Regions from separate parts of the Mus musculus genome. Here regions 1, 3, 4, 5 and 6 are each reported to be linked to region 2. Evidence: microRNA targets listed by miRTarBase, many of them from high-throughput screens and not tested one by one. Region 2 holds a microRNA gene; each other region holds the end of a gene's coding sequence.
What was found. Region 2 holds the annotated microRNA mmu-miR-339-5p (UCCCUGUCCUCCAGGAGCUCACG, at 2,374-2,396, shown strand). A microRNA usually pairs through its seed, bases 2 to 8, with sites in the 3' UTR of a target mRNA and lowers its output. Matches are read on the target gene's strand: a 7mer-m8 pairs with bases 2 to 8, a 7mer-A1 pairs with bases 2 to 7 and ends in A, and an 8mer does both.

Region 1 (5,086 bases), not on the chromosome of region 2:
TATGGGCCAGCAAGATGGCTCAGCAGGTAAAGACCACCAAACCTGTCACCGGAATTCAACCCCCAGCATCTACTTGGTAGAAGGAGAAAACCAAGTCTCTAATGTTATCCTCGGATCTCCACATGAGCATCGTAACACATCCTGCCCACACATATGCATGCAAATAAATAACAAATGTTTAAAAGCAAAAACAAACAAACAAATACAACAGACAGGTACCTTCAACCTGTTTCCTATGTCTCCATGAGGTGGCCCCGCCCTGGCAAACAGAGAGGAAGACCCAGTGCTTGGGAAAATCCTCCAGGGAGACAAGTGGATTTTGGTGCCAGATCTTGTAGTACATGCAAGCCACAGCTGGGCTGCTCCAAGTTACCAAGGCAACAGAAATCAGTGGAAAGGAACCCCCTCCAAATGAGCAGTGTTTATTTTGGGCAATTTTAAGGTTTTTGTGTTCTGGATAGACAAAGATAAACATACCCAGACCTTCATTTGTAACCTATGGAAAACACTGACATGCTAGAAATCACCTGTATGGCTCAAACCAAGGCACGGGTGAGTACATGCAGTTTTGTTTGTTCGTTCATTAAACACATACAACCCAAGACACTTTGTTCTTTTTGTGGTAGGGGAGGATGTGTGGGTTTTTTGAGACAGAGTTTCTCTGTGTAACAGTACTGGCTGTATGACTTAAGATTTCCATTGCTAACAAGAGACACCATGACCAAGGCAATTCTTTTTTTTTTTCTTTTTTGGTTTTTCAAGACAGGGTTTCTCTGTGCAGCCCTGGCTGACCCGGAACTCACTTTGTAGACCAGGTTGGCCTCAAACTCAGAAATCCGCCTGCCTCTGCCTCCCGAGTGCTGGGAATAAAGGAGCGCCACCACGCCCGGCTGGACCAAGGCAATTCTTATAAGGGACAGCATTTAATTGGGGCTGGCTTACAGGTTCAGAGGTTTAGTGCACTATATTGGCAGGATGCATGGCAGTGTGCAGGCAAACATGGTGCTAGAGAAAGAGTCAAGGGTTGTACATCTTAGCTGGGCAAGGTGGCGCACGCCTTTACTCCCAGCACTCAGGAGGCAGAGGCAGGCTGATTTCTGAGTTTGAGGCCATCCTGGTCTACAAAGTGAGTTCCAGGACAGCCAGGGCTATACAGAGAAACCCTGTCTCCAAAAACAAAAACAAACAAACAAACAAACAAAAAGAGTTGTACATCTTGATCCAAAGGCAGTCAGGAGAAGACTGACTTCCAGGCAGCTAGGAGGAGGGTCTCAAAGCCCACCCTCACAGTGACACATGTGGTTGCCGGGAATTGAACTCCGGACTTCTGGAAGAGTAGTCAGTGCTCTTAACCACTGAGCCATTTCTACAGCCCCACTTTGTTATTTTAAGACAGGTTTTTGGCATGGCTGATAGTCACTCTGTAGCCAAGCTAGCCTTGAATTTGTGGCAGTTATGCTAGGATTACAAGTGTATACCACTAAGCCTGGGTTTTGCTGTTGCTGAGGGGGTTTGGTTTGGGTTGGGTTTGAGGGGTGTGTTATTTGTTGTTTGGTTGCTTGCTTGGTTTCTAAGGCTGGGTCTCACCGTGCAGTCTAAACCACCCTTAATCTTAATCTTCCTATTTTAGTCTCCCAAGTGCTGGGATTACAAGCCTGTGCCATCATAATGAACTAATGCCTTTTAAAATCTGCATCTTGGGGGGGGGGGGCGGGGCTGGAGAAATGGCTTAGTGATTAGAGCTATATACTCCTTTTGAAGAGGAATGGATTTCAATTTTCATGAGACTCAAATCAGATTATAACTCCAGCTGCAGGGGGATCTCAAAGATGCCTTCTTCTGGACTCTGGGGGTATCTACACTAACACATTAAGGTTAGCCAGGCGGTGGTGGCGCATGCCTTTAATCCCAGCACTTGCTAGACAAGGCTGGCCACCAAATGCTCTGACACACCAGCATGGTGGCCACATGCTGGAGCCGGCAGGCAACCCCCACGGATGGGGCAGTGGGGCTGCTTGTACCTTACACATTGAGTGAGTGCTGAAATTGTGTCCTTCTTGAGCTGGCTCAACAGCTAAGAGCTTGATACTGTGTCTGCCAAAGGGGCCCGGAACAGCAGAACATGCTCAGGATTTGTAGTAGAGCGGGGAGTTCAAAGACAGGTGACTATAGGGCTGAAAGGTTTCAGGGAGGGGGAGATGCTCCCTCCCACCAGGGTGGCCACAGTGCCACACCTCCCTCTGATCTGGAGACCATTGGTAAGAAGTCAGGAAGCTGTGCTGCTAGGGTTGGGGGGCAGGATAATGGGGAGGAGGGCACTGGGCTCTGTTGGTGGAAGGAGGGCATGAGGGGGGAGGACTTCACTCAGTTGGTGGGAGGAGGGCATGAGGGAGAAGGACTTTGATCAGTTGGTGGGAGGAGTGCATGAGGGGGGAAGGACTGGGCTCGGTAGGTGGGAGGAAGGCATGAGAAGCAACCAAGCTAAAGAGATATGGAAAAAAGACAGGAAACACAAGCACTATTTCCATGGTAGAATCAGTCAATTTTTTTTCTGTCTAGAAACGTTTTTATTAAAGATTTCTTTATTTATTTTATGTATATGAGTACACTGTAGCTGTACAGATGGTTGTGAGCCTTCATGTGGTTGTTGGGAATTGAATTTTTAGGACCTCTGCTCGCTCTGGTCTGCTCTGCTCGCTCAATCCTGCTAGCTCTGGCCCAAAGATTTATTTATTATTATACATGAGTTCACTGTAGCTGACTTCAGATGCACCAGATCTTATCACAGATGGTTGTGAGCCACCATGTGGTTGCTGGGATTTGAACTCAGGACTTTCAGAAGAGCAGTCAGTGCTCTTACCTGCTGAACCATTTTGCCAGCCCTCTAGAAACTTTTACAAATTCCAACTCATAGCTATTTTTATAGTAGAAAAAACAAAAAACAAAAAAAAAAAAACCCGGGCAGTGGTGGCGAATGCCTTTAATCCCAGCACTTGGGAGGCAGAGGCAGGCAGATTTCGAGGCCAGCCTGGTCTACAGAGTTCCAGGACAGCCAGGGCTATGCAGAGAAACCCTGTCTCAAAAAAAAAAATTTTTTTTTACAAGAAAATGCATTTTTTTTCTGGTAAAACCATAGGAATTCCTCAGATACTGTAAGCAAGTTTCAGCTATGCATGATCGGGTTATTCCTACTCAAGATGTGGGCGGAGGAGAGGCAGAGCTTGCAAAGAGCTTGATCCCAGAGGCAGGGGAGTGGGCTCGGATTTCCAAGTCAGACTCAACACTTCCTGTGTGACTATAGACCTATGCAAGGCAGGAGGCATTCCCCATGAAGAACACTGCCTCCTCAAAACAACTATCTTGAGTACGAAGTTTATGTGTCAGAAGATCCCCGGGGGAGGACGTACAGATCAGTTGATTCTGCTGGTTGAACCTGCTGGAAGCCTTGGGTGTGATCTTCAAACACTGCAAAAATTGGCAGGGTGGCTCTTTTGTAAAATCATCTTCAGCTACATAGTGTACATGAGATCCTATCTTCAAAGAAGAAGAAGGTGGATATCCACGGGAGGACTCCCCTGGGGGACGGGAGGACGGGAGGGAGAGGAAGCTTCAGTCATGATGTAAAGAAAATTGATTAATTCATTAATTAATAGAAAAGTAATCATTAATCATCACTGAATAAACGTTGACCTGAGATGAAGTTATAAGGAGAAAGAAGAAGAACGTGGAGGAGGAGGAAGAAAGAGAGAAAAGGAAAGGAAAGGAAAGGAAAGGAAAGGAAAGGAAAGGAAAGGAAAGGAAAGGAAAGGAAAGGAAAGGAAAGAAAAGAAAAGAAAAGAAAAGAAAAGAAAAGAAAAGAAAAGAAAAGAAAAGAAAAAGTTATATCCTAGCATGTACTCCTGTACTCTCACACTCCAGAGGCTAAGATAGGAAAATTGCAAATTTAAGGCTGTATTTCTCCAATAGAGACGAGGATAAGGTCTGGGAAAACCCAGTGTCATAGAGCCCACTTCCTTCACATTCTTGGAGACCATGTCTTGCCCACCTGGCCCAGGGCCCCTCTGTGCCAGGACAGGGGCAGGGATGCTCCTATGAAAACATGACTAGTAGTTTATAGCTGCACTTAGTAGAATAAAAGATGAGGCATCCAAGGACATGGGGATCCCGAGAAGTGGGAACAACACCTTACCTACAGCTTAGCAGAGAAGGATTCAAACTCTAGCAGTTGCTTGATGCCATTGGGGAATGTCATCCAGCTTCCACCATCAACCACCAGCACGATACCTGAGACATAGGAAGCCAGAGGGCTGGCCAGGTACAGCACGCTGTGAGCGATCTCTGTCTTGGTCCCAAGTCTTGGAATAGGATTTGAAAAATGCTTTAATTTCGAACTGGCATTGGAGCCTCCTGGAAAGCAATAGGAAGTCAGATCCCAGTAAGCCTCTATGCCACAGTGTCTGCTGCTCTCTCCAGCTAGCTCTCTCCCTGACCCAGATCTGGAAACAGTGGTTGCTCTATCAAGGCCAACAGCAGACTGACACTGAACCCACATGATGGACATTGGAGACCCTCACAGTAGGCCAAGTTCAACAGGGTAGAAGGTTAAACATTTAGATAACTTCTTGACTTGAATAAGAAGACTTTTGTTGATGGTTGTGTTGTCCTTATTGTTTTTGTTTTTGAGACAGGGTTTCTCTGTGTAGCCCTGGCTGTCCTGGAACTCACTCTGTAGACCAGGCTGGCCTCGAACTCAGAGATCCACCTGCCTCTGCCTCCCAAGTGCTGGGATTAAAGGTGTGTGCCACCACCACCCAGTAAGACAGAATTGTTAAGTACTGCAACAATTCTTGAAGCTTTGATGGGTGTCTCAAACTCCCAGGGAGACTTACTTAATCGCCTTAAACCCTCAGTGCCACTGATGGCACCAGGAGCCAGGCTGTTGACACGGATATTCTGGGGACCCCATTCCACAGCCAAGTGTCGCGTCATAGCATCTGCATGAGAAATGCATATGGGAGGGGAAACTGTGAGGCTGTTCCGCTCTGAGGTAGCCCAAGTATCAGTGTGAGCTCTACAGTGTCCACAG
Region 2 (5,086 bases):
GCCTCGCTCTGTAGCCACGCGAGGTCGTCCAGGTGTCCCTTCGCACCGCTGCCTGCCTTCCCACCCCTGAGCCCATAGCCTGGGCCCCGCTCATAGTCTTATTAGACTTTGAGTCTTAGGCTTTGAGACCGCTTGCCAGGTTAACATGCCAGGTTAACTTGCCAGGTTAACATGGACACCCAGGAGGACCCTCCTGGGTGTCCGCGGTGTGTGCAGAGCCCTGACCCAAAAAACTGCTTGTGAACAGTGGGAGGGGCATAACAACAAACTTTATGGCACTTAATGAAGTCCCTGTGTAATGTTGATTTCATTCTTGCCTGCTCCACTAGCCTGGGTTTTTGTGTTTTGTTTTGTTTTTTTCCACCTCCCAAGAGGCAGACTTTGTTGCAGGCCTTCTCAATTGCTCCCAGGTCAGCCTTCCTGCAGGAACTCCTTAAAGTCTGTGGGGAAGGTGGTATAGTTAGGGTCTGGAGGTGAGAACTTGGCAGGCTGTGCTCACAGGCTGACACTCGCAGGAGAAATAGGATCGCAGGCTGCTCAGCTAATGTGGAAGCCTGGTGGCTGATAGTCTTTGACAGTACATAATTGTTTGTTTGGTTTTTTTTTTTTCCCTGGGAGACCCCATTTTCTGCCCAGTTGTAGCTGCTTGCACCCGCACCTTGGATGACTCCCACACTTTGCTTAGTGGGCTTTTCAAGCTTTAGAAATCCGCTCTGCATTATAATAGCAAGATCAGCACAAAAAGTAGGAACTATAGAGGATCCTGCGAGTGTTGTTTGTGCCCCAGTGTTTGTTCTGGTCATCTCTGCCCTCGTTGGCTCAGAGCTGTCTTCACATTTCTGCTGTTTTAAAAAAAGGGGGGTGGGGAGTTTTGGATTGCTAGGGAGTCACTTACCCAGGTGAGCAGAGACATCTGACCTTGCTTGCAGGGTGGTTGCTGGGCCCGTTGTAGCAGGAGAAATGGCCTTTCCTTGGCCACAGCAAGAAAGCTTCCATGACCTTAATGTCACTTGGGGGTCCACTAGGCAGTTTGGGATGTGTGAACACAGCTGCTCTACCAGAGGAAGCCAAAATCAAAAGCATTTTGATTACCGGCACACTCAAATAGAATTGGGAGTGGGGCACGTGGAAACCAGGCTAGAACAAGCATCCCTGGGTGGTGGGCATGCCGGGAAGCTCTAGAGAAGGGGATGTGGGTACCTGGCCCTGGCTAGAAAGAAGGCCTCCAGCTAGGGCGAAGGAGGCAGACTGCAGCTGAAATGAGACTGAGTCTCGCTCGGCTCAGGGACGCAGCGCAGGCTCTGCACAGTACACAGGTTCTTGTGTCAGCAGGCTTTTCCTGGCCTGGGAATGCTCAGTTATAGATGCAAGCCCCTCCCTCTCCTTCACTTCAGGGTCTCCTACTGCAGGGGTCTGATTAGAGACCTCCCCATCTCCCCCGCTGCAGGGCCCTCTTCCCTGCCTGTTGGCTGCTTTCTGCCATTTCTGAGTAGACCTAGGTGGGAGCTTGTTGTGTGTGTCGCCCTCACGCCCGTGATTCAGGTGGCAGGGGCTGACTCTGTCCTTGCTCTTGGACCAGGAGCTTCACTGATGGCCGAGTTGGGCTTCCCACTTAAACTTGTGCCAGAGCTGCTGGGACCAGTTCCTGTGATCTGCAGGCAAAGGGACGGAAGTTTTATCTTCTGGAGCCAGCCCCTCAGCCTAGTCAAGGAAATCTGCACCCTGTTCAAGCTCCTGGGGTCTGTCTGCTCCTGTGTTGGAACTGGGGACATGTGAGATAGCAGTGGGAGAGGTTAGACCTAGAAAACCCATGGGACCTTCATAACCTTGTTGGTGGGGCCAGTCAGCCTGAGTCAGGTGAGCTGAGGCCAGAGAGCCAAGAAAACCGATGTATAGTCGGGGACTCACAGCCTAGAGGCCTTGTGGTCTGTGCTGGAGTCTGTGAGAAAGTTAATTCTCTGGGCAGCCTGAGGTCAAGACTTAGGCTTTAGCCTGTGTTTAACCCCCAAGTAAGTGACACAGGGTGTTTCTGCCGTGACTGCAGAAGGACCTGTGGCCTGGACAGAGCCTGGGCTTGGTGGCGGTGACAACATCACCTCTGGGGATTCGTGTGTCCTGTGGCAGCTGGTGATGGCCCAGTCTCCTGTTTCTCAGGGATACATCAGATCTGCTGCTCACTTCCGCCATTCAGGTCACTGAGGAGGCAGGGTGCCGCATCTGTCATCTTTGTCTTTTTCAAGCATGGGGCTTAAGTGACATTTTGTGCATTTGAAAAGTCATATCTAGAAGGGGATCCCTAGGTGGGTGTGACCCTTGCCTTGGCACCAAGGTGGTGAGAGCACAGCTGTGCAGAGCTGGACGGGGTGGCCACTATCCCTGTCCTCCAGGAGCTCACGTATGCCTGCCTGTGAGCGCCTCGGCGACAGAGCCGGTGTCCACCCCTGCACTGTCCACAGACCCTTGCCTGCAGACCAGGGTGCTCAGTCGCTGGCTGTTCATGCTGTACCTTCTTGAACTCGATTGTGCAGATCTGCAGGTTGTTCCGTGGATGGAGGGGACTCTGGTTTCTCTGTGCGGTGACGCAAGGCACTGACCCCTCTGGGGTCCTAATCATCTTAACCTACGCAGACACTGAGGGGGAGGGGAGAGGAGCCAGGAGGGAGCCTTCCAGGTCTCTCCCTCTGTGTGTGTCCTCTGTAGCACCAGTTGATTCTACTGCGTGTGACCTATGTCCTGGCAGTTGGTGTCCCTGGGTCACTTCTACATCCACTGTGTTTCAGTAATTACCTCCAAATAAAAAGCTTCCTTTAAAACAAACTCTCTCCCCTCTCTTCATTATGTTGTTGTGCTTTTGCTTTGTCTTCTGGAAATCTTGCTACCGAGTGAGTGCATAGCCGGGCAGCAGTCTGCTGAGGTCTGTGAACCGGAATGGGCTCTCAAGGTCGAACACCTCTGTGGGACCCTGGACTCGGGCTGGCTCCAACTGAATGGAGGAGGGCTGATTCTGGGCTGGGGAATGAGAACAGAGTCCACTGGCCTTGGCACCCAGCTCGTCAGCCTCAGCAGGCTTCGTGGTCTCCCCCCACAAACATCGCTGTCACTTGTAGGCCATTCCCAATGTCTGGGGAACAGGTATAGGGGTGGTAGGGACCAGAGACCATGCCCCAGCCTTGGAGGCACCACCTGGGTATGTGATAGACAGGCCAGGTGCTGGGCTCCATCGACCATCTGCTGTGCCCTTGGGACTCTGTCCTGTGTGAAGCGGGTCAAATGACTGGATTCCCTGCCACTCAGCTGCGCCCCCAGTACAGCTGCTCTGGTCACATGATGGGGTGGGGACAACAGAGGGTCCTTCTACCCTCACCTGTGTTCATCCTTACACCTGACTCAGTCATTCCAAGAAAGAAGGTCCTACAGAGCTGTGTGTCTGGCACTGGCTACCAGGGCCTCTACTGCCAAGGTCTACAACTAACCTTTGAGGGGTTTTTGTTTATGTTTGAGACAGACTTGCTAAGCTCAAGCTAGCCTTGGACTTTCAATCCTCAGGACATATTCACCAACCTCCTCCACAATTCCAAGAACGTTTGAACAAGATGTTTTTGAGCCCAGTGGATGCTCAAAAACGCTGGGCATTGACTGCCTCCCCAGGACAGCACAAATCCCTATTAAGAGAATATCCCCAGTCATACTGCCCCAGCACAGGTGATGCCCTGGCCAGGGCCAGCAGCTCCTTCTAGCTGTGTGGAGAAGGAGAACATCTCTCTGCCCTGTGAACTTCATTGGGGAAGGACAGTGGGCCCTTGCCCTTCCTCCTACACAGAAGGCCTCTTTTACCCCCATGGGACCCAAGGGAGGGGCAGTGGTGGGGTGCTTGAAGCTGCGGTTTGCTGCAGCACCCACCTTTGTGTGCCTCCTCAGCGCCTGAGGCTTCAAAAACAGTAAGGTTCAACCAGGGCTTCCTGATTAAACCTGGGGAACAAACAAGAGAAGCAGGCCCACGCAGTTGCCCTGGTTCAAGGTTGGTCCTGGGTTTACACACAGCCTGGTGAGGGCAAGGGAGAAAGTGCCGCCTGGAGTCTTTGAGCTGGCAGAAAACACCCACTCACCAGGATGCCCCTGCTTACAGATGGTAGAGTTAAGCCTCCTCACCAGCAACAGGCACAAGCAGGCCAGACTCCCCTTACCAGTGTGGCTCAGAATGCCTGGCCAGGACTCTTCTCAACATCCAGAACTCAGGGAGCCTGAGGCAAGATTGCCCCTAAGGGGACGCTAGCTAGCCTGGGCTTTATAATTCCAGGTCAGCTTACCAGCTAACCTACACACACACACACACACACAGGCTGTGCCCTGTCATGGACACCAGGCAGTCTTGAATTTAGCTACCAAGGCTGTTGGGAGATGGTCCAGTTTTCTTCTCAATCTCCAGAGTCACCCAGCAAGCCTTGCCTGTTAGCATGGGACAGAGGCTGCCTGCTCCGCCAGCCCTGGATCAGTGCAAACCATGAGTGGTGATGGAGATGTGGGTGGAGGAACCCTCAGGGTGTGCCATTTGGGAGACTGCTGATGCTGCACTGGCCCCAAAGTGTCAGCCTTCCTTGGCTTTGGTAGGGACAGCAAAGAGCTGAGCCCACCATCCATACAAGGACCCTCCGTGGGTGCAGCATTCGCTCAGGCCAGTGTGCATGTTTTATATGCATGCCTGAATGAGCATTACATATGTACCCAGAGTTCAGAAGAGGACTTTGGGCCCTCTGGAGCTACAATTACAAATGATTGAGAGCTACCATGTGGGTGCTGAGAACCAAACCCAGGTCCTCTGTAAGAGCAACAAGTGCTCTAACCCACCGAGCCATCTCCACCCAGCATGTGTGTGCCACACCCTACCTCTCTTTTAAAAAAGAGCTGGAAAAGAGGGCAGCTCTAATCCCGGGACTCCAGAGGCTACAGAGACAGGAGAAGTGCCAGCCTGGGCCACGTACCAAGTTCCTCTTTGAAAACCAGGGGGCTGGAAAGATGGGGGTCTCAGTTTAGAGCACTTGTCCCTCTTCCAGAGGATCCAGTCTCAACACCAGTACCCATGTGACCA
Region 3 (5,086 bases), not on the chromosome of region 2:
GCTGGAGAAAGCTTGACTTCTAGGGTCACAGGGACTTAAGTCCTAGCTCACTTAATTGCTATATGACCCAAACAAGTGACAGCCTGTGCCTATTTCTTCCTCTGTAAAATGAGATTATTCCTAATACTAGGTGCATAAAGTCGATATATGTACTTACCTAGTACACAAGAGGCATCATCACATACACACTTTTCTGAAGTCAAGGGAGAATGGAGGTGGATATTTTTTGTCTGTTTAAAATTGTCTATGATCCGGTGATGCATCAGGTCCCTTGGGTCATAATGATATACCTGTGCATCTGTCTTGTGCTCCCTCCTACAGAAATATCCAGAGCACGCTATCCGAAAGGTGCTGCAGCTCATGCTACGCAGGGGTGAGATCCAACACCGTATGCAGCGCAAGGTGCTCTATCGCCTCAAGTGAGCCCATTGCCCATCAACCCTCAAGCCTGAAATGCTGCCACCACCCTATCTCCCAGTCAGTGCTCCAAACCTCCTTTTGCCCTGCCTCTCCACCTCAGACTGCAGTCTGCAGCACATCTGCAGCCCCTGGAAATGTACTTTGGTCTGTTGGCCTCATACTGTGTTTGAGTGTCTGAGGACTCTCTGCTCTGGGTGTCTATCCCCTGTCATGCCTTCTCAACAAGATGAGTCTGGAGCAGGAACAGGCCCTGGAATGTAGATGGGTCTGTATATTGGCTCCCGGGCCACTCACTGCCAAGCTTCTTTGTATGTACAGAGGTAATAAAGCAATTGAGTCCCTGGCTGCTAAGGTCAGTGGACCCAGTATGATAGTAGTGCTGTGTGAATACAAGGTTGACTCTTTCAGCTTTCTTCAGCAGCACCTAATGTGAGAACTGGATCATTCATTGAGTTGTCTGCCTCAGTTTCCTAATCTGCAAACAAATTTGATGAAGCTGAGCTCAGTGAGTGAGTGGCTGTCAGTGAAAACCCAAGTAGACTCCAATGTAGAATGTCTCCAGGGCTTTATTTATAGCAAGTGGGCCTCAGTGGTGTCTGGGGAAGGAACCAGACGTCAGGGTTTATCAGTTAAGGAGCTATGAGTACCTGAGCAAGCTTCAGCACAGTAGGAGGTATTAGTGACAACATTGTTAAAAGAAGACACCCAACACCTCGTATTACCAAAATGCCGAAAATTATGATTTTAGAAATCTATAATTTATAAAATTAAGGAAAAGTCAGTGAAATATTTAAGTATTTGTTATGTAAAGTACATTTATAAATGGGAAGCTAGTGCTGAAAACACTGCAGTCACCAACAGTAAAGTTACTGTAGGAGGAAGGCTTGAGAGAACAGGAAGTACATACACAGGCCTTTCTCGTAGATGGCGTCCTGTGCTGAAATGGCTGTTGCTTGAGGTGTTTGCTTTTTTTTTTTTTTTTTTTTAGTTTTTTGAGACAGGGTTTCTCTGTGTAGCCCTGGCTGCCTGGAACTCACTTTGTAGACCAGGCTGGCCTCGAACTCAGAAATCCGCCTGCCTCTGCCTTCTGAGTACTGGGATTAAAAGTGTGGGCCACCACGCCTGGCTGAAGTGTTTGCTTCTTACTCCCTCCTGGAAATGTGCTTGCTCCTGACGAATGGCCATAGCCATTTCTTTTTGATTGGTCTGCAAACTTGGAACAGAGTGTGCTTGTCTGGAAGGGCAGGCTTGGTAAGAACATTTCATCCTACTTGAGGCCTTGAGGATGCATGGACATGCGGGCCTGCAGGAGTGCTTAGTTGAGTGGAAGATGCCGATATGATACCTCTTTCTTGGTAGGCCCTGGCTGGCAGGCACAGTGTTAAGGGAGACAAGCTTGGCTTGCAGGGAAGTGGGCAGTGCTCGGTGTGCCACAGCACGAGGAAAAATGCCCAGGAAAATATCCAGGAATTAAGGATTGGTTGGTTTCTGAATCTGAACTGGATCCTAACCTTTAATTCTACGAGACACTGGCCTGAGCTGCTGGGGCTAAGTTACTGTAGCCCTGCAAGTATGGCCAAGATGGTCTTAGGACACACTTTCCCCTCTTTTCCTCACCTTCCCATGAGTGTCTCAGATAAGTAGGATTTGAAGCAGTGCTCTGAGGACTCAGCCCTGCTGCTTGCTCTGCTTTCATTGCTTCCCCAGACAGCAACTTGATTTTCACTTTTTTTTTTGCCTTGGCATGCTTGGGCGTCCTGGTGATTCCTGGTCTGGTCCCTTGCCCAAGGTATAGATAGACATTTCACATCCCCTGGTTGGTCTTTCAGCTTAAATATTATTTGTCCTTAGACATATATTCGTGTCACGCAGTGACAGGATTGGTACGGGCCCAAATGGGCTGCAATGGCCTGTTATGTTAGCACCTGAGCTCTGCTGCATCTACCATCACATATTGTCTGACCCAGACTGCACGTGGGAGAGGATTCTACTGAAATGCATGAGGTGTGGAGGATTTCTGGCAAAATTCTAAGCAACTGTTAATGACAAGCTGTTGGGAATCATACACACTGTCACCTTAGCCACCATAGAAGTCATACGTACAGTGAAGATTACAGGCCAGACATGGAAGTTAGCATCCCTGTAACTCCCATATTTAGGAGATGGAAGCAGGAGGATCAGGAGTTCAAGGTTGTCCTCAGTTTCAAAGTGTTCAAGGCTACAACCTGGGCTATAAGAGATTGGTCCTGTTTCAAAAACAATCTACATAAAAATGTGTTAGTGAAAATACTATTTTAGAGGAACATTTACAAGTACCAGAATAAGGCCAATTCTCTTTTTTTGCGGGTGTGTGTGTGTGTGTGTGTGTGTGTGTGTGTGTGTTTCGAGACAGGGTTTTCGTATAGCCCCGGCTGTCCTGGAACTCACTCTGTAGACCAGGCTGGCCTCGAACTCAGAAATCTCCCTGCCTCTGCCTCCCGAGTGCTGGGATTAAAGGCATGCGCCACCACCGCCCAGCCCAATTCTCTTATTTTTAAACTATTTTTTATTTTTATCTTATGCATCTTGGTGTTTTGCCTGCATGTATGTCTGTATGAAGGTGTTAGATCTTTGATTTGCAGGTGTTTGTGAACTCTATGGGTGCTGAGAATTGAACCTGGGTCCCCAGGAAGAGAAGCCAGTGCTTTTAGATGCGGAGCCATCTACCCCATCCCAAAGAAACAACAAAAACAAGGAATTTCAGAAATGCAAAAGATGAGTTTTCTCAGACTGTTGAGGTGGAAGTGGCAGAAGATGCACACTTCACAGGGTAACTTTGTGGTTTTAGATGTAAGTTTTTCACTTCTATTAAGTATGTTATGGTTTTAGATGTAAATCTTTCATATTGTGCGTGGGTGTGTATGTGTTGGTCTTAAATAGCATGCCACATGGGTGGAGCTTAGGAGGCAACTGCATAGAGTCTGTTCTCTCCTTGCATGTTTACATGGGCTCTTGGGAAAACTCAGGTCATCCGATGTGTGTGACAAGCACCTTTACCTGCTGAGGCATACAGATCCGTGTGCTTAAACATGAACACTGGTAGGTTGGTATTTATGAGCCAAGGGTTGCAGCTCAGTGGTTGACTGCTTTCCTGGCATGTGTGAGGCCAGGTTTTCAATCCTGGCACCACAGGAACATGGTATGGTTCAAAGGGTAGTTTTCAGTTAAATCAGTGAGGGTTTTTTCTTCTACTTGAAAGATGAGGCGGTAAGGTAAAGTTCTGGTGTAAGTACATGGGCCCAAACCCAACTGGCCTGGGTTCAGATTGTAACTCAGCTACTTACTGTACCTATCCCAGCCTTAATTTCCTATTAAGAAATAGGGGTGCTGGGTTTGGTGGTGCACGCCTTAAACACCAGCTCTAGGGAGGCAGGCAGGTGGATCTCTTAGGTTTAAGTCTAGCCTGATCTATAGAGCAAGTTCCAGGATGAGAGCTCACAGAAACCCTGTCTTGAATAAAAAGAAAAGCGGGGGGGGGGGGGGAGAAAAAGATGTGAGCACCGATTTAAGGATGAGGCAGGCTCTTCTAGGGACTGAGCTGCCTTGACAGCAAATTTTGGAATTATTAGGAAACTAAGTTCCAAGCAATAGATAGGCAGTTTAGGGTCCTTTCCATTGTTTCCCCTTTCTCAAAGTTCAGGCTGAGGTTAAGAGAATGGCCATGAGGATGGGTTGGTACTAGCACCTTACCCACAGTCCAGCAAAGGGTGCTGTGGATGGTGTGGAATAGATTAAGGTAGACAATTGCATCCATGGTTTGCCAGATCAGTTGCTCGCTCGCTCTCTCTCTCTCTCTCTCTCTCTCTCTCTCTCTCTCTCTCTCTCTCTCTCTCTCTCTCTGTGTGTGTGTGTGTATGTGTGTGTGTATGTGTTAAAGTGAAAGGATACCAATCAGGCTAGATTAGGGCCCACTTTAACAAACCCACAGGTCTCTACGTTTAATAGGATTAAAGACAAGTGCTACCATACCTGTTCCATAACTACCTAACAACTTTGTACTCAGGTCTGAGGCGCTGGTGTCTAGGGCTTTTTTAACATGATAGGTGGTGGGGGAACAGGCTTCTTTCTAGGACAGGAGGAGTGGGGTGGGGCTGGGGTGTAAGCCCCTGTTGCCCACAGAGTGGAAAGTTCCTAGCCTTAATCTTTCATCAGACACATTGAAGAGAAAAAGGCATTATATGGGGAGCAAAGTGGCTCAGGAGTCAAGAACTTCTGGCCACCTTGAACCAAGTTTCTACTTGTGTAGGGACAGGATTTGGGGAAGGGTTTGGGAAAGAATTTCATGGAGGGTCCAGGGCTGCTTTCTGATGCCCTCCTCTGCCAAAATGTTTTCAGCACCTTATGAATGAGTGGTGAATTCTGCACTCACTGTGTGCCAAGTAGTACACTAGACACCCACATATTCTACAGTGCCCACTACCCCCCAAAATTTTTTTTAAAAATTTATTTTTATTTATATGAGTATGCTGTAGCTGTCTTCAGACACACCAGAAGAGGGCATCAGATCTCATTACAGATGGTTGTGAGGCACCATGTGGTTGCTGGGAATTGAACTCGGCCTCTGGAAGAAGTCAGTGCACTTATCCGCTGAGCCATCTCTCCAGCCCCCTACCCCACAATTCTGAGT
Region 4 (5,086 bases), not on the chromosome of region 2:
TGCTGGGATTAAAGGCGTGCACTACCATGCCTGGCTCTCTTCCACCTCTTGACATGCACAACTTGGAAATGGAGGTGGGGACTGGTGTTGTTCTTGGTGCTGTTCTAATGTTCAAGAAGTTGTCATTTGAAGGGAGGCATGAATTAAGGAAAGGAGGAGCTGCCCCTTACAGACAGCCGTGTTTCATCAATCCCTGTAAAGTAGCGCCTAAACCAGCAGGTGTGGCTTACGGCTAAACTGAGGTGTGTCTCAGTGGGTGCTTGATGGGATGTTCATTGTGTTTGGCCTACAGACCACTTTGTGAAACGCAAGAAGAAGGCAGCCGCGGCCGCAGGAGGAAAGAAGGGAGCTAAGTACAGCAAGGACTATACCGAAGGCTGGGTGGAGTTCCGAGACAAGCGTGTAGCCAAGCGAGTGGCAGCCAGTCTACATAACACGCCCATGGGCGCCCGCAAGCGCAGCCCCTTCCGTTATGACCTGTGGAACCTCAAGGTGAGGTTCTCAGTTTGTCTGCCACATCTTCATTCCCCCCTCCAGCTCTAGTCCAGGCACCCCATCCTTCCTGCTAGCTCTGAGCAGCTCCCAGTTTCTTCTCCCGACCTTCCCTACCGTGACCTTTTCTTCTTTTCCTTCTCACAGTATTTGCATCGTTTTACTTGGTCCCACCTCAGTGAACACCTTGCCTTTGAGCGCCAAGTACGAAGGCAACGCCTGAGAGCAGAGGTCGCCCAAGCAAAGAGAGAGACTGACTTCTATCTTCGAAACGTAGAACAGGGACAACACTTCCTTGCAGCTGATGGGGATGCTACTCGGCCAAATAGCTCCTGGACATTCACCCAGCGTCCCACTGAGCAGGAGTTTAGGGCCCGGAAAGCTGCACGGCCAGGAGGGCGGGAAAGAGCACGGCTGGCTAATGTCGAGGACCAGGCCCGATCCAACAGAGGGCTCCTTGCCAAGATCTTTGGAGCCCCTCTACCTGCAGAGAGCAAGGAAAAACCGTAGTCAATAAGGGACTCCTGGTGATGGAAGAAATACCTACCAGCCCTGCGCCATTCTGATCTGCTTCCTGAAGAGTGTGACCATCTAGGCAGATGTTTTCTCTATTCCACACACCAAGAGTCTGGTAAAGGCCTTTTGTTGGTGTCTTTTACCTACTTTGAACAAATCCTGTAAGTGCCAGCCTGAGAACCTTACTCGTCCTATCCAGGGTGAAGACCACTGGAGGTGCCTGTTGTGTTTTGTTTGATTTCTGATTGCCTGCCTCTTTCTCAGTGGACAGCTAACAGTTTCTGACTGAAAGAGTGGACTTGCCCTCCACTAGGGTAGTGGTCTGTGGTGTTTGTTCACTGTGGTGGAAGGCTGAATTAGCAGGAATTGGATTAGAGGTCCAATTTGAGGCTTATATTTGAAAATAAAAAATAATTTATTTTTATATGCTTTTTAGTTTTTCATTAAGTAAGTTTCAACTTCTTTTGAAGCCATACATGCCGCTCAGTTACTTTAGCACAGGCATGATTCTCCTCCACCCATGAATCTCAGTTACTCTATCAGATATGATCCCAATGCTCCTGTGTTAGTCAGGGTTCTGTAGAGTCACAGAACTTATGGGTAGTCTCTGTATAGTAATGGAATTTGTTGATGGTTTACCGACTGTAGTCTTAACTCCCAACAGTGGTCAGGAGCACCTGTGAATGGAAGTGCAAGGGTCTAGCAGTTGCTCAGTCCCACAAGACAAGCAGGTGAAGGAGGGTCTTCCTTCTTCCAATGTCATTATGTAGGTCTCCTTAGAAGATGTGGCCCAGGTTAAAGGTGTGTGCCGCCATTCCTGGATCTGGGACTTGCTTTGTCCCACATGACCTTGAACTCAGAGATCTCCTTTCTACGGAGGAAGTAGTCCAATGTAGTAAACCTGACACCAGGTTTCTGGCTGATCACCTCAAAGAATCTGGGGCTCAGTGTTAGTTTCTGCTATTGGCAGATCTGGCATTCAGCGGCAGCCGTAGCCAGGTCAGCCTTGGTGAGTGGAAGTCCCTGTTGTTGAGCCCGAGCATAACCTCCATCTCCGTCACCATAGCCACTTTGTTCATGTGCCCATTGAGCAATGACAGGGATGGCTGGGGAAAGAGGCTGACTGTCCACAGAACGGGTCATCTAATCCACTTGATTATTGAACTCCTCCTTGGCTGAAGTCACCTTTTGGTGAGTGTTTAAATGGGACACAAATATCTTCACATCCTTTGCCCACTTGGAAATATCTATCCACATACTTCTTCCCCAGATGTCTTTCTCACCAATTTTCAATTGTTATCTTTCCAAATCCCTGACCATCCAGCCAATCCATTGGCTACAAACCATGAGTCAGTAAACAGTTGTACATCTGGCCATTTCTTTTGCCAAACAAACTAATACCACGTGTACTGCCCGAAGTTTTGCCCATTGTGAAGATTTTCCTTCACCTGTATCTTTCAGGGTTGCCCTGGAAAGGGATTATACTGCAGCTGTCCACTTCTGGGTGGTGCCTGCATAACGTATAGAGCTATCAGAAATCCAGGTCCTAGTCTTCAGTCAGCCAATCATAGGAACACCCCATGAGGCTATAGGCACATGCTTGGCAGCAGATGGCATTGTAATAGGAGTAGAAACCATAGGCATTTGAGCAACTTCTTCAAGTAACTTGCTTGTGCCTTCAAGACCTGCTCTGGCCCAATCACATATATACCACTTCCATTTGATAATAGACTGCTGCTTTGTATGTCCTACTTTACGACTGGAGGGTCTGATGGCACCCAGCTCATGATGGATAGTTCAAGTTCAGGTTGCTTGGTAACTTGCAACCTGATTCTGGTGTCCTATTATCAAATGTTCAGTTTCCACTAAGGCCCAATAGCAGGCCAAGAGCTGTTTTTCAAAGGGAGAATAGTTGTCTGCAGATGATGGTAGAGCTTTGCTTTAATATCCCAAAGGTCTTTTCTGTGATTTCCCTACAGGGGCCTGCCAGAGGCTCCAAACAGCATCTCTATCTGCTACCAGCACCTCAAGTGCCATCGGGTCTGCTTGATCATATGGTTCAGGAGTAGAGCAGCCTGCACAGTAGCCTGGACCTGTTGAAGGGCCTTCTGTTTCAGGCCCCACACACGTCACTTGGTATATGGGCCTGAGTAACACACCCAAGTGAGTAATATACTGTCTCCAGAATCCAAATAGACCCACTAAATGTGCTTTTTTCTTGGTAGTGGGAGGGGCCAGGTGCAATAACTTATCTTTCACCTTAGAAGGAATATCTCTGCATGTCCCACATTACTGGACCTAGGGACTGCTCTTTATAACTTTCTTATTTTGTGATAGGGCCTCACTCAAGTGAGACTTAGCCTTGAACTCATTCTGTAAGTTGCTCAAATTAGCTTTGAGCTAACTTTGGTCAGGTAGGCTCTGAACATGAAATCCTGTCTCAGCCTCCCAAAAACTTGCTGTGAGGAGAGGCCTGTATCAAGAGGCCTAGTTTCAATATTCTTAAATAAATAAATAGAATAATAATTTACCTTCCTTTTCTTTATAGGGTAAATCCTTACCTGGAAAAGGCATCCACAAGCTATCACATGCCTTATCTTTTAAAATGTTTCAGTATTCATTTTGGTACATGTCTTCTGTATAAAAACTGCAAAAAGATGTTTACTAATAGATCTAGGGGTTAAAAATACTGTCATGGTTTGAATATGCTTGGCCCAGAGAGTGGCACTATTTGGAGGAGTGGCCTTGTTGGAGTAGGTGTGCTACTGTGGTCATGGGGTTTAAGAGCCTCACTCTAGCTGCCTAGAAGTCAGTCTTCCACTAGCAGCCTTCAGATGTAGAACCCTCAGCTCTGCCTGTATCATGCCTGGATGCTGCCAGGCTCCCACCTTGATGATAATGGACTGAACCTCTGAACCTGTAAGCCAGTCCCAATTAGAAGTTGTCCTTTATAAGACTTGCCTTGGTCATGGTGTCTGTTCACAGCAGTTAAACTCTAAGACAGAGACTGAGCCTCTCAAAGATCCTACCATTCCAGCCACTTTTCCTGTCTCCATTCTCCTCCCTCAGTCCAGCCCATGTCGTGGGTCTATCACATGGACTGCCTTCCTCAGCACCTTCTGAAACTTCGCTTCCAACAGCCTGAACCCCTGGCCCCTTGTTCCCTTCCTCACAAGCTCAAGTGCATTTCCCCTTCAAGATTCAGTCACTTAGAATGTCAGGCTGGCTTCCCCCGACTTCCCCTCCTAAGGTGAGCATCCTGCTTCTGTGGGGCTGGAGCACTGTTTTCTCTCTGGGGTAGCTCCTCCTGTTTTACAGTAATTGTTGATGTTTTTACCCTGGTGTTATCAGTATGAAGATTCAACATTATCTTTGACTCTTTAGGGCTTCAGTCTGGTAAATAAATGTTCACTAACTCTTTGAGTTGCTGTGAGGAGAGGTTTTATAAAAATCCTAAATAATACACTTTCTGCACTCCACTACCTGTGATGTTTGGTTTGACAACCAGTTTGGAAAGTGTCATCTACTTGTGACAGTGATAAGGAGCGTCAGGAAGGTCTTGATCCAAACAGTCACAAAGGTAATAAAAGTCAGATTTACATCTTCATCTGGGACTCTGTAAGCCTACTCTGTCCACATCAAGCCTCTTCTACAGGAACAATGGTAAGAACAGAGTGAAAGCCAGCTAATCTGTGGTGGTTGTTCTGTGTGACTAGAGCCCAATAATGAAACATTGATAAAAACAAGTGTTGACTGGACTTTGTACAAACCTCTAATCTCAGTACTTGAGAAGCAAGAGGTAGGCAGATCTCTGTGAGTTCAAGGCCAGCCTTGTCTATATAGTTAGTTCCAGGACAGACAGGGCTACATAGTGAGGAGGAAGAGGGTAGGAGGAGGAAAAAGAGGAGGAGGAGGAGGAAGAAGAGAAGAAGACTCGACAAAGTGTTTTTCAGGCTCAGAAAGTGCATTGTGACTTCATTACTAGCTGTAGGAGCTGTGGTGTGCAGTTACAGCCAAAGCTAGCTGACTCCTACTTGTAATGCAGTGTGGAGTCATACGCAGTTAAGATCATTGTGCC
Region 5 (5,086 bases), not on the chromosome of region 2:
CAAGCGGTGTTAGATTGTAAACAAATCCCAGGTAAGACACCCATAGGTCCTCGAGCTGGTTGTGTTCCGCTACTTCTGACGGCGTGAAATACCGACGTTGAAAATTATCCAAGTCTGGCCCGGCTACTAGGCCCCGGCGCGGCATGGCTCCTGGTCTACAAGAGGCACAGGCTCCCTCAGCTACCTTCTCGCTCCTCCGCAATCTTAAAACTATCAGGTCCAAGAACTACCTGAAGTGCGTTTGTCGCTGACATGGAAACCATTGTCCCTTTCCGGCCACCGGCCACAGTAGTTAGTTATACGTAAGTAGGGCGGGGTTTGGGCTGCGCGTGTCCACCGGAAGCATTCCGGATTCCGGCTTCGAGCCTACTGTGGTTGAATTCATTCTTAGAGGAAATGAAGACAGTCCGTTTCATAACGGAGTGTAGGCTAGATGAGTTAGGGGTAACAGAAAGTATCGACGAGGAGACTAGAATAGAGGGTTTTTTAATCACCAGATTTCAGGCGTTTAAAAGCTGTTTAAGCAATTGCAGGTAAAGTTCTCGCGATATTCTTCTCGTAGCCCAGTAGGCATGTAGGGACCTGGCATGAAATAAAATCTCGCGAGATCTGCAGTGGCGGAACCGGAGGCGAGGAGGAATTGTGATCTCACGAAAGCGCTTGGGAGCACTCGCGAGATCTGACGCGCCGATCCCCCAAAACGCTCTTAGGAAGTTTAAGGCCCAAAAGAGGTCCCAGGGCCAATGGCCGGAGCTGGGCCGACCATGCTACTACGAGAGGAGAATGGCTGTTGCAGTCGGCGTCAGAGCAGCTCCAGCGCCGGGGTTAGCGTGGGCTTGGTTTCTGGACGAGCAGTCGGGGAGCGACACCGGGCGGGGAGGGGAAAGGGGGTGGCGAGGTTGGAAAGGAGAACTACAATTCCCAGCAGCCCACGGGCTTCTGGCAGCGCCGCGAGGGCAGCTGGGAACTGTGGTTCCTTGGGCGTGCTGCCGATCCTAGGTGTCTGAGTGCTTGTCCTGCCCTAGCAGGACTCTGATGGGGAACAGGAGGACTCGCCGGCCACGCGTGCACGGCAGCAACTAGAGGCATTGCTCAACAAGACCATGCGTATCCGTATGACAGATGGAAGGACACTAGTCGGCTGCTTCCTGTGCACTGATCGCGACTGTAATGTCATCCTGGGCTCTGCGCAAGAGTTCCTCAAGCCTTCTGGTCAGTGTCCAGGGAATACACACCTACCTCCTCGGGAATGCGGCGGAAATTCACTGCAAGGCATTTCCTCTTGCAGGCCTTACTGCACCCCCTTATTTTCTGGGGGCGAGACGGATGTTTGCCTGCTGTTCTGATACTGACTTTTTTTTTTTTTTCCAGATTCATTTTCTGCGGGCGAACCCCGTGTGCTGGGTCTGGCCATGGTACCAGGACACCACATCGTTTCTATTGAAGTCCAAAGGGAGAGTCTGTCGGGGGGCCCGTATCTCTGACCACAATTGCACTTCTCTTTGAGACCATTAAACCCTATGACCAAAGTGGCCTGTGTCTGTGTGTAGGTCCAATGTCAGGGGAGGGCTAGCACACCCCACCCTTAGAGGTTCATCAGAGTTCAGGAGCTTCCTCAACCTGCCCCAATGCCTAGAAGAACCAAACCCTCCCTCAAGTTAGGAGCTTAAGGCAGCAGGCCCTAGGGTGGGCCCCTCCATCTTCCCTCCCACGCTCCTGCTTCAGTTTCTAGCGGGAAGCGGTGTCATCCTGCCCCGGAAGATCCATTGTTTCCCACCCCGGCCTGGCAACACTCAGTTCCTTTAAGCTGGGGTCAGAGAACGGGCTCGGGTCCCCAAGGGGAGCTGGGTAGGCAGCCGAAACAAGGCCCTCTCTGCGCTATTAATGGGGAAGTGACTTTGGGGTCAGGGCCAGACAACTCTGGGGTCTGATCAGGAAGAATGGACTAATGCGATAAGGAAAAGGCAGGATGCTGAGAGATGCTCTCTGATTTGCCCATTTGTAGTCTTGAGGATTCGTTTCCTACTCCTGAGCCCAGTGCAGGAGCGATTGGATATGTGCCACCCCTGTATTCACAGAGTGCATTCATTTTATAATTTTTTTTTATTATTTGTGATGGCTTCTCTCTTATTTGTGTGAGCCCTGTCCCTCAGTCCTGTAAATTTTGGAGGAGCTGCACCAGCAAAGGAAGGCACAAGGTCCAGCTCTCTTATTTACAATAGGGAAGGGAAAGAAGATGTGCAGGGTCCAGCCCAAACGTTCAGGAATCAAATGTGAATGACGTTTCTGGGACATGGGAATTTTCGCCAGCTCTACGTCCACATTCAGCTGTTCCATCAAAGGGATGGTAGGATCCGGCTCAGGCCGCGGTAAGGAACCGGCTTGGGCAGTACACCCCTGGGCTTGTTTCAAGTCCTTGAGAGACCAGGAGGGCAATCGACAGGATTCTTGACTCTAAGCACCTCAGACCCAGACCTTTCCCGGTGTGGGAACAGACCGAGAACCTGGTGAGACTGGGATTTGCTTCGGCTGTGGGATGCGCCGGCGCCTGTAGAGGGCTCGGCTGTAGGGCACGAGGCAGTCGGCCAGGCGGAGGCGCAGGCAGAGGCGGCGGTAGGTAGCCAGGGCAAGGACAAGCAACGGCACGAGCAGTAGGAATCCAGTGACCAACAGGGCTGTGAAGCCTGGGTCCCGCAGATGCGAGGTGCAAAGGGGTGCCTGAGAGCGCAGAAACTGTGCGGATAAGAGACATCAGAATGGGCCACTCTGCCCAGGAGGAAACAGCCCAAGTGGGGATGCAGTGGCTCAGACACCCCCCCACCCCCGCCGCCCACACACCACTCACGCATACCCCTTGGTATGCTTACCTGGGAGTGGCAGAGAAAGCCGAAGCCTAACATGATGACAGCAGGTAGCAAGATGGTCCCCAGCACCAGTGCCAGCAAGAGGAGATTGAAAACAGCCACCAGCAGATTCTGAGCCGTTACTAGCACTGCACAGGCCCAGCAATCTAGGGGATCCCGAGGCTCTGGGCCGCCAGCGAGAACGGGGCGCTGGGCTCCGGGGACCTCCGCCATGGCCTGGTTGGTTCCCGCCCCACACGACTGCAGTCCTTATAGCCCTCTTTCCTGCCCCTCCCCCGGGGCAGTCTCTCTGCACCCCGCCCCCCACTACCTTATCCTGGAATGCGGCTCTGGGATTAGGCATCCCCATCCTAAGGGGCAGACTGTGGGTCTGGACATTCCACAGGCTCCTCTGAGGAGGGGCTCCCCACCTCCGGAGGCTGCATCGCCCTCCCCTTAGCTCCTCGACCCTTCAACTGATATGCTTCACAGCCATCATCAAAACACAAGGGTCTCTTTTTTTTTTTTCCTGCTTTTATTTTTAATAATATTCTCACACAAAAATCACCGAAAATAGGGTAGGAATGGGAAGCCCCCCTCTGCCCCTGGGGCAGAGAGACAGTGCAGTGCGAGGGGGCGGGACTGTAAACCCCCCCACCCCTCCGCAGCCCCAGCGGGGGGGAAAAAAACCGAACTAAGAAAATGAAAATAAAGCCCCAGAGAAAATCACCCCAGGGTGTCCCTGCCCCAGAGAGGCCCTGCCCTGGGATGTTTCACGCCTTAAAAAAGGTGTGTGTGTGTGTGTGTGTGTGTGTGTCCAATGTTTTTAAAATGGCCGAGGCTGGGGAGGACAGGGTTTCTTTTCCTCATAGTTCTTTAAAACTTTTTATTTTATTTATTTATTTTTTTTACAAAATACCATTTCAGTTCCCACTTCTTCCCCTACAGTACAGGAGTCGCTCACCCTCAGGTGGGGTCGGGGTTGGGTCGGGAGTGGGGGTACTGGTCCAAGAAAGTGCAGGACGTAGGGGAGGGGAGCAGGTTTGAGCACCATGAGAGCCCGGCTGGAGCCGCGGGCGGGCGGAGACAGACGGGCCAAGCCCGGACATACTGGGGCGCAGGGAAGGCCCAGGAGTGGGCCTCCCAAAGAGGCAGGAGGGATGGCTTGGGGATGTAAGAGGTCGGGTTTTCCCAAAAAAAGAGAAAAAAAAAATGAATAAATAGAGGTGAGTGGGACTGTTATAAATTAAAAACCAAAAAACAAAAAGAACAAAAATACGAATCATAACCAAGTGAATAAACAAGAGACATATACAGGGATCACAGCTAGCATTGGAAGTAAAAAAAAAAAAAAAAAAAAAAAAAAAAAGGAGGTCCAGGGGTAGGGGTAAAGCCCATAGAGAGAATCTCATTAAAAACCTCGGCTGCCGAACGTCTATGTACACAACGAGCCGCGAACGTCTGCGCCGGCGGGCGGCGGGCGGGCGCGCGGCGGGCAGGCTTGAGGGAACCCGTATGTGACCCCCGCCGCCGCCGGAGCCTGGTCCTTGTGTCTGTTGCTAGAAAGGCCAAAGTCGGTGAGGGGAGGCGCTGGTGGGCGAGAGGCTGCCAGCCCCCTCCCCGTCTCCCATTTTTTTTCCTTTTTTTTTCCTCGTATTTGTTAAAAAAAAAACATTTTTTTTTTCTTAATAAATTAAGTGAGGGGAGCTGCCAATAGGGTGGAAGGGCTGGGCCCGACCCCCTTCCCGGCCAGAGGCGGGACCTAGGTCCAGCCCAGGCGTGTGCTGGTGGCCCCGCCGCGCCCAGCGTGGGCGGGCGAGCGGGGCGTCCGGCCTCATCGAGACGTGCTGGCGGGAGCCTGCGGGGAGAAAGTGGGCAGCTTCAGTGGTGGGCGGATGGGGACCGGCCGCTCCCGCGCCCCCTCTGGAGCCCAGGCGCTCGCTCTCACCAGTGTGAAGGCATCGTAGGCCTGCGCCAGCTCCTCCGTGCGGTACTGCTCTAGCACCACCACGCCCTGTAGGCCCGCGCTGCGACGGCGCGCACAGCCCTCGCAGTGCACCAGGTACGTGTTTCGGCTGCCATTCTCACTTGTAACGAACAGGATGTTGAACACCTCCACCTGGCCAGGAGAAAGCGGCTGTCACTAAGAAGTCACTACTACTGTTAGGTCTCTTCCAGGCAGGGGGAAGAGCTTGCACACTTACGTCGCATTCGTTGCAGTAGTAGGCAGGCTCGTCTTTGAC
Region 6 (5,000 bases), not on the chromosome of region 2:
TTTACTATATTATTTCTGTTTAATACTCACTGATCAGAGACAAATAAGTGCTGAATTTTTTACTATATTTTCTACTTTTACATAAAAACATTGGCATCTTAATGATATATTTCAGGTGTAAAAATGTGAAAGACTTACTTCTAGCTTGATCTTATTTTGAAGCAATAGATACCATTACAAAGGTTGTATATCTGAACCTGAAATTCTTAAAAGATTTTTTTTAGTTGCACAGAAGAAAAGCCCCTAATCACCTTCTCTAGAAGTCTATAGTGGCTGGCCATTGTGCTTCTTTGAACACACAGAACAGTGACTAGGAGGGCCCATTGGAGTGCCAGGCAGAGTGAGCCACTCAGCGAGTGGGAGGTCCGCACTGAGTATCTCATCTGAGCAGGAGTGAGATCCGTGAGGGACACAAGCCCCGATGACAGTGTAATTCAGGTCACTTGCAGGCACTTTTAATTACTATCCACTACATTTAAATAATTTTGTATTTTGTGCATGCCCTTTTGAACAGATACTTGTTTTATACAAGAATTTTTTTATAAGATAAAACTTAGCTTGGCCAGAGTTATGTCTGATTGAATTTTTATTAACTTCTGGGGATTAGATGCGGTTTTTCCCTGTGTAGTAAAACCCAATAAAGAAAAAACTTACTTTCATCTTTCTGGGTCTGGGAGTTCTAATCATGGTGTCCACTGTGAAGACAAAACAAATGCAGCAAATAAAGCAAGCTTTTGGTTTCCTAAGAGTTCCCCCGGCTCACTGCTCCAGGCTTTAATAGACTATGATAAGCGTCAGTAAAATGAACTGAATTCAGGAGCTCAGCATTTCCTTTATCTTCCTAACTCTTGGCCTGGTTTGAGAGAAGCTACAGTATTACTCAAAATCACCTTCATGGGGCTGCTGTTCACAACAGTACATGCAGAATATCGCCTTCATGGGGCTGCTGTTCACAGTACATAGTATTCAGTGTGCATATTTGAGGCCTTGTAGTATGTCTGCTACCCAAAGATTTCCGAATTTGTCAAGAAAAAAGTATAATTTTAAATGGCATTTCTTTTGTTTTGAGAATCTTAAAAGCAACACGGGTATCCCGTCCCATCCCCCCGTCCCACCCCCTAACAACCCCTTGGCCAAGCTCACCTTGAATTATTCTCAGGTTTAAAGATTAAAAAAAGACAGACAAAACCAAAACCCAGTGTTTGACTGTCTAGATATTTGGTCTTATTTACTGTTAAGGTTAAAAGGAAACTTAGGAGGGCAAGAAGGAAAATACTGTTTAATAAATATGTGGCTTTGTTTTGTCCTTACTAATAGAAATTTAATGTGCCCTTAAGATTTTGTGGGGAGTGGGTAGGCCTTTGGACAGAGTATCTGTAGCCAGGTTAGCCTTGAATTTACTGTGTAGCTGAGTATTATCGTGAACTCCTCAGCTCTGCCCCCCTACGGCCCAGCGCTGGGATTGCAGACACGTGCCACCATGCCAGCCTGGAGATTTTTACCTTTAAACACAAACAGACTTCACTCTGAGTGCCACACATGTAATGGTCATTGCTTCCCTTCACTATTCCATTACTCTTTCCTGCCTCTCAACATTCCCCCATTACATCCCTCTCAGACTGTCACCTCATGTTAGCTATTTATACAGGGTATGTGTATGTGTGTGCACATTGTTGTGATAAAAGTGATCAATTCAGCTGGAGCCTGATTCCTCACGTCACACGTCCCAAGTATGTAGTGTCTTCAGCAACATGTCCTTGGAAATAATCATGACAGGAACTTGAGCAGAGGCTGGAACCATGTAGGAAAGCTAACGCTGCTTCTTGGCTTACTCTCAGCCAGACTCATGCTCAGCTAGGTTTCTTAGATAGCCCAGGCCCCTCTGCCTAGGAATGGTACTGCCCACAGTGAGCTAGACCCCGCTACATCAATTACAATTAAGGAAATCCCCACAGACATGCCACAGGCCAATTTTGATGGAGCCAGTTTCTCAAATGAGGTTACTTTTTCCCAGGTGACCCTAGGCTTGTCAAGTTGTATGAGAAGGTATATACAATCAGTTTGCATTTGATTCTTCTCTGAAGTAAAAGTGGCTAGCCTTTAGGATTTTGTGATGTATCTTGGCATTTTGAAATGTTTTTAACTTTGCTAATTTAGAACTCTTGAAGAATGATGTAGCCACTACAATCAATGCTGCCCGTTTTAATGCTTTATGTAAAGAGCTTTCCTCATACAGCAGAGTGCTCGAGCATGGACTCTAAAAGCTTCGGGGTGTGTGTGTCTGTGTGTGTGTGTTGCTTACTAGCTATGTGAACTAACCTTTGTGCCTTAGTTTCATGCCTACCTCAAAGTATGGTTTCATAGATTAAAGCTTTATAAAGTGGGCTTTTTTTTTAATAACAGAATAAACACCATATGTAAAGATTTCCTGTTGTTCTGTATTTGAAACCTAAGCTGATAAGCATGTATTCTTAGCTCTTGACCTTTGCCAGCCAGTGTTCATGCCAGACTTAAGATCTAAAACATGAACATTACAATGATAAAATGTTAGAAATACATTGAGAACAATGTTTACAGGCATGTTACCTTGGATCATGAAATATTCTATTAAAACCAAGTTGGGTTGAGTGTGGCTCAGGTCAAAGGAAACAAAATTAAAATTAAGTTTTGAGTATTAGTGACTACACAAATGGAGAGTTATATGTACAGATATTCTAAGTCCAATCACCCAGCAGGTTGGGTCCAGTAATTCTGGATCTAATTGTGTAGCAGTTATGATCTGTGACATGCAGTTTAACTGTCAAATTGTTAGACGCCTTTTAAACTTATGTGGTGTGCCTACATCTTTTCCCTTGATTTGTAAAATGTCATCATACTCAAGTACTTATGAAAATGCTTATAAAGCTTTATTAATCCATACACATCAATACAAAAGCATTGTACCTTAAGGCACTTTAATAATTCACAGAGCATGTATGTTAAATATTTAAGTATTTTCCTTTACATCATTGCATTGGGAACAGTTTCATGTACTGAAACAAGCTCTTGCTACATACATTGCCCAGGCCTGACCTCCAACTCAAGTCCCTCTAGTCTCAGCTTGTAGAACACAGCCTTGCCTAGCCTGCTGGTAGCTTTTAAGGTTTATTTTTATATATGAGTCTTTTGCCTGTATGTATGTATGTGTGCATGGATCCCCTGGAATGGGGTTACAGACAGTTAAGAGCCACCATATGGGTGTAGGGAACCAAATCTGGGTAACCCACAAAACCGACAAGTGCTCTAAACTGCTCCAGCCCTGCCCCCCCACCCAGGTCTTTATGTGATAGAGGTTAATAAGGTCCTGGTTTACCCCCTGCTACCAGTTTACTAAAATAGAGCCCACCTTTATTTTTCTAGACTGCTTGTAGTGATTCAAGATACAGTGTATCTTGGTGGAGGAATGGTCCTTGTACATTTGAAGAGATGTATTCTGCTATGAAGTAAAATACTCTTGTCTATCAGATCCAGTTACTGGTGGTCAGTTCTCGTCTTACTGCTTTCCTGTGTGCACTGGTTCTCTAGGAAAGCGTGTTCCATGGCTTGTATCTGTATTATTTGCTCTTTTGTGGAGGGCATGGCACTGTACTGTACTGGAAACTGCAGCTAGGCCTTCATACAATCTAGGCAAGAACCTTACCATTACATCTTCTTGGTGAGGTAGACATTATGTTGGGGAAGGTGCCTGCTCCTACTGTATCATTCTGGCTTTAACATTATTTATGTGGTCTGCCCTTTACCTTCAACTTTTACATCACTTGAGTTGTGTTTTCTAAAAACAGCACATAGTTGGGCAGTGTTTTTCCTGTACTCTGTCTTTTTGTAAATCTTTTTTTTTTTCTTTTAAGATTTGTTTATTTATATGTAAGTACACTGTAGCTGTCTTCAGACACTCCAGAAGAGGGAGTCAGATCTCGTTATGGATGGTTGTGAGCCACCATGTGGTTGCTGGGATTTGAACTCCGGACCTTCGGAAGAGCAGTCGGGTGCTCTTACCCACTGAGCCATCTCACCATAAATCTTTTTATATCATTTGCATTTAATGTGATTATATGTTTAGATTTAGTTCTACCATCTCATGCAATGCTGGTTTTGAGCCTGTTTCTCTTTCTTTTAGGTCACTTGAGCATCCTTTAATATTTCATGTTGATCTTATTATATAGATGTGTCACTCTGCAGATTTCTTGTGGTTGATCTAACAAGTGTGTCTACCCTCCAGGCCACATACATCCACAGCTATGGATATTGCCCAGGACTTTTATGTATAGCATTGTATTGCAACATCGAAAGGCTGGACATCTTTGCTAGAATGAGAGGGTTTTTTTTTCTGTTGTTGTTGTTGTTGTTTTGGTTTTTCGAGACAGGGTTTCTCTGTGTAGAGTTTTATTTGTTAACTATCTAAAAGTGAACATTTTCTTTTTTCGACAACTATACTTTGACCTGTTGCCAGTTTCCTGTATAAGCACTGCAAATGCTCTGGCGTAGGAAGCTCCGCTTCGGGAGTTGAGGGGATTTCAAAGTCAGAGGAGCTCTGTGAGTCTGCACGTGTGCTGCTTAGCAATGTCTTCTCAGGTGGAGACTTCCTGCCACTCAGGGTGTCTAGTTCTACAAGACAAGGGGCTCCATTTACTTCAGCTCTGCTTTTCAAATCACAGTGAGTATCTTGTGGACACAGTGCATCCTGTTCTATTTGAGAGGCAGAAATACTCTCTTTGAGTTTTGGTTTGTAGGCACCCTTGTTTAAAGAGGTACTATCCCCACCACTTTTCTCTTGGGAAGATAACAAAACAGTATCACACTGGCTGTCCCAGCCTTGACTTCCTTGATCTGTTATATGGGTTGACTGAGATGAATTCTGGGAAGAGATATGGGTGGAGTCTCCATCAGAGTCACTGCAGAGCTTTGGTGAGTCACTGCAGAGCTTTGGTGAGTCACTGCAGAGCTTTGGTGACTGAGATCCC

Region 1: miRTarBase lists Decr2 as a target of mmu-miR-339-5p. Seed matches in the 3' UTR shown: 7mer-m8 at 3,072-3,078.
Region 3: the mRNA of Mcm5 is a reported target of mmu-miR-339-5p. Seed matches in the 3' UTR shown: 7mer-m8 at 1,417-1,423.
Region 4: the mRNA of Abt1 is a reported target of mmu-miR-339-5p. Seed matches in the 3' UTR shown: 8mer at 2,104-2,111.
Region 5: miRTarBase lists Kdm6b as a target of mmu-miR-339-5p. The part of its 3' UTR that is shown has no 7-base or 8-base seed match.
Region 6: the mRNA of Dclre1c is a reported target of mmu-miR-339-5p. The part of its 3' UTR that is shown has no 7-base or 8-base seed match.

The regions. Positions count from the first base shown.
Region 1 is chr17:26,078,687-26,083,772 of GRCm38, forward strand. Decr2 (2-4-dienoyl-Coenzyme A reductase 2, peroxisomal) reads right to left here. Exons shown (of 9, transcript NM_011933.2): 7 at 4,890-4,994; 8 at 4,190-4,407; 9 at 2,525-3,575. The coding sequence ends at 4,190. Among named protein-coding and RNA genes, the nearest start is that of Decr2, 8.9 kb to the right of the region's middle.
Region 2 is chr5:139,367,018-139,372,103 of GRCm38, reverse strand. Mir339 (microRNA 339) reads left to right here and starts at 2,359; the gene lies at 2,359-2,454. All of the region lies in intron 2 of 3110082I17Rik (RIKEN cDNA 3110082I17 gene), which reads left to right.
Region 3 is chr8:75,126,902-75,131,987 of GRCm38, forward strand. It overlaps Mcm5 (minichromosome maintenance complex component 5), which reads left to right. Exons shown (of 17, transcript NM_008566.3): 17 at 322-1,538. The coding sequence ends at 423. Among named protein-coding and RNA genes, the nearest start is that of Mcm5, 20 kb to the left of the region's middle.
Region 4 is chr13:23,417,889-23,422,974 of GRCm38, reverse strand. Abt1 (activator of basal transcription 1) reads left to right here. Exons shown (of 3, transcript NM_013924.3): 2 at 293-492; 3 at 640-4,614. The coding sequence ends at 1,002. Among named protein-coding and RNA genes, the nearest start is that of Abt1, 3.4 kb to the left of the region's middle.
Region 5 is chr11:69,395,149-69,400,234 of GRCm38, forward strand. Kdm6b (KDM1 lysine (K)-specific demethylase 6B) reads right to left here. Exons shown (of 24, transcript NM_001017426.2): 22 at 5,048-5,086; 23 at 4,792-4,962; 24 at 3,360-4,701. The coding sequence ends at 4,678. Cyb5d1 (cytochrome b5 domain containing 1) reads right to left here and starts at 198. Exons shown (of 4, transcript NM_001045525.2): 1 at 1-198. The coding sequence starts at 145. Naa38 (N(alpha)-acetyltransferase 38, NatC auxiliary subunit) reads left to right here and starts at 643. Exons shown (of 3, transcript NM_030083.2): 1 at 643-824; 2 at 1,029-1,212; 3 at 1,372-1,523. The coding sequence starts at 744. The coding sequence ends at 1,484. Tmem88 (transmembrane protein 88) reads right to left here and starts at 3,086. Exons shown (of 2, transcript NM_025915.4): 1 at 2,868-3,086; 2 at 1,368-2,733. The coding sequence starts at 3,077. The coding sequence ends at 2,464.
Region 6 is chr2:3,453,239-3,458,238 of GRCm38, reverse strand. It overlaps Dclre1c (DNA cross-link repair 1C), which reads right to left. Exons shown (of 14, transcript NM_146114.3): 14 at 2,885-5,000. The coding sequence ends at 4,430. Suv39h2 (suppressor of variegation 3-9 2) reads left to right here. Exons shown (of 6, transcript NM_022724.4): 6 at 1-2,424. Among named protein-coding and RNA genes, the nearest start is that of Suv39h2, 19 kb to the left of the region's middle.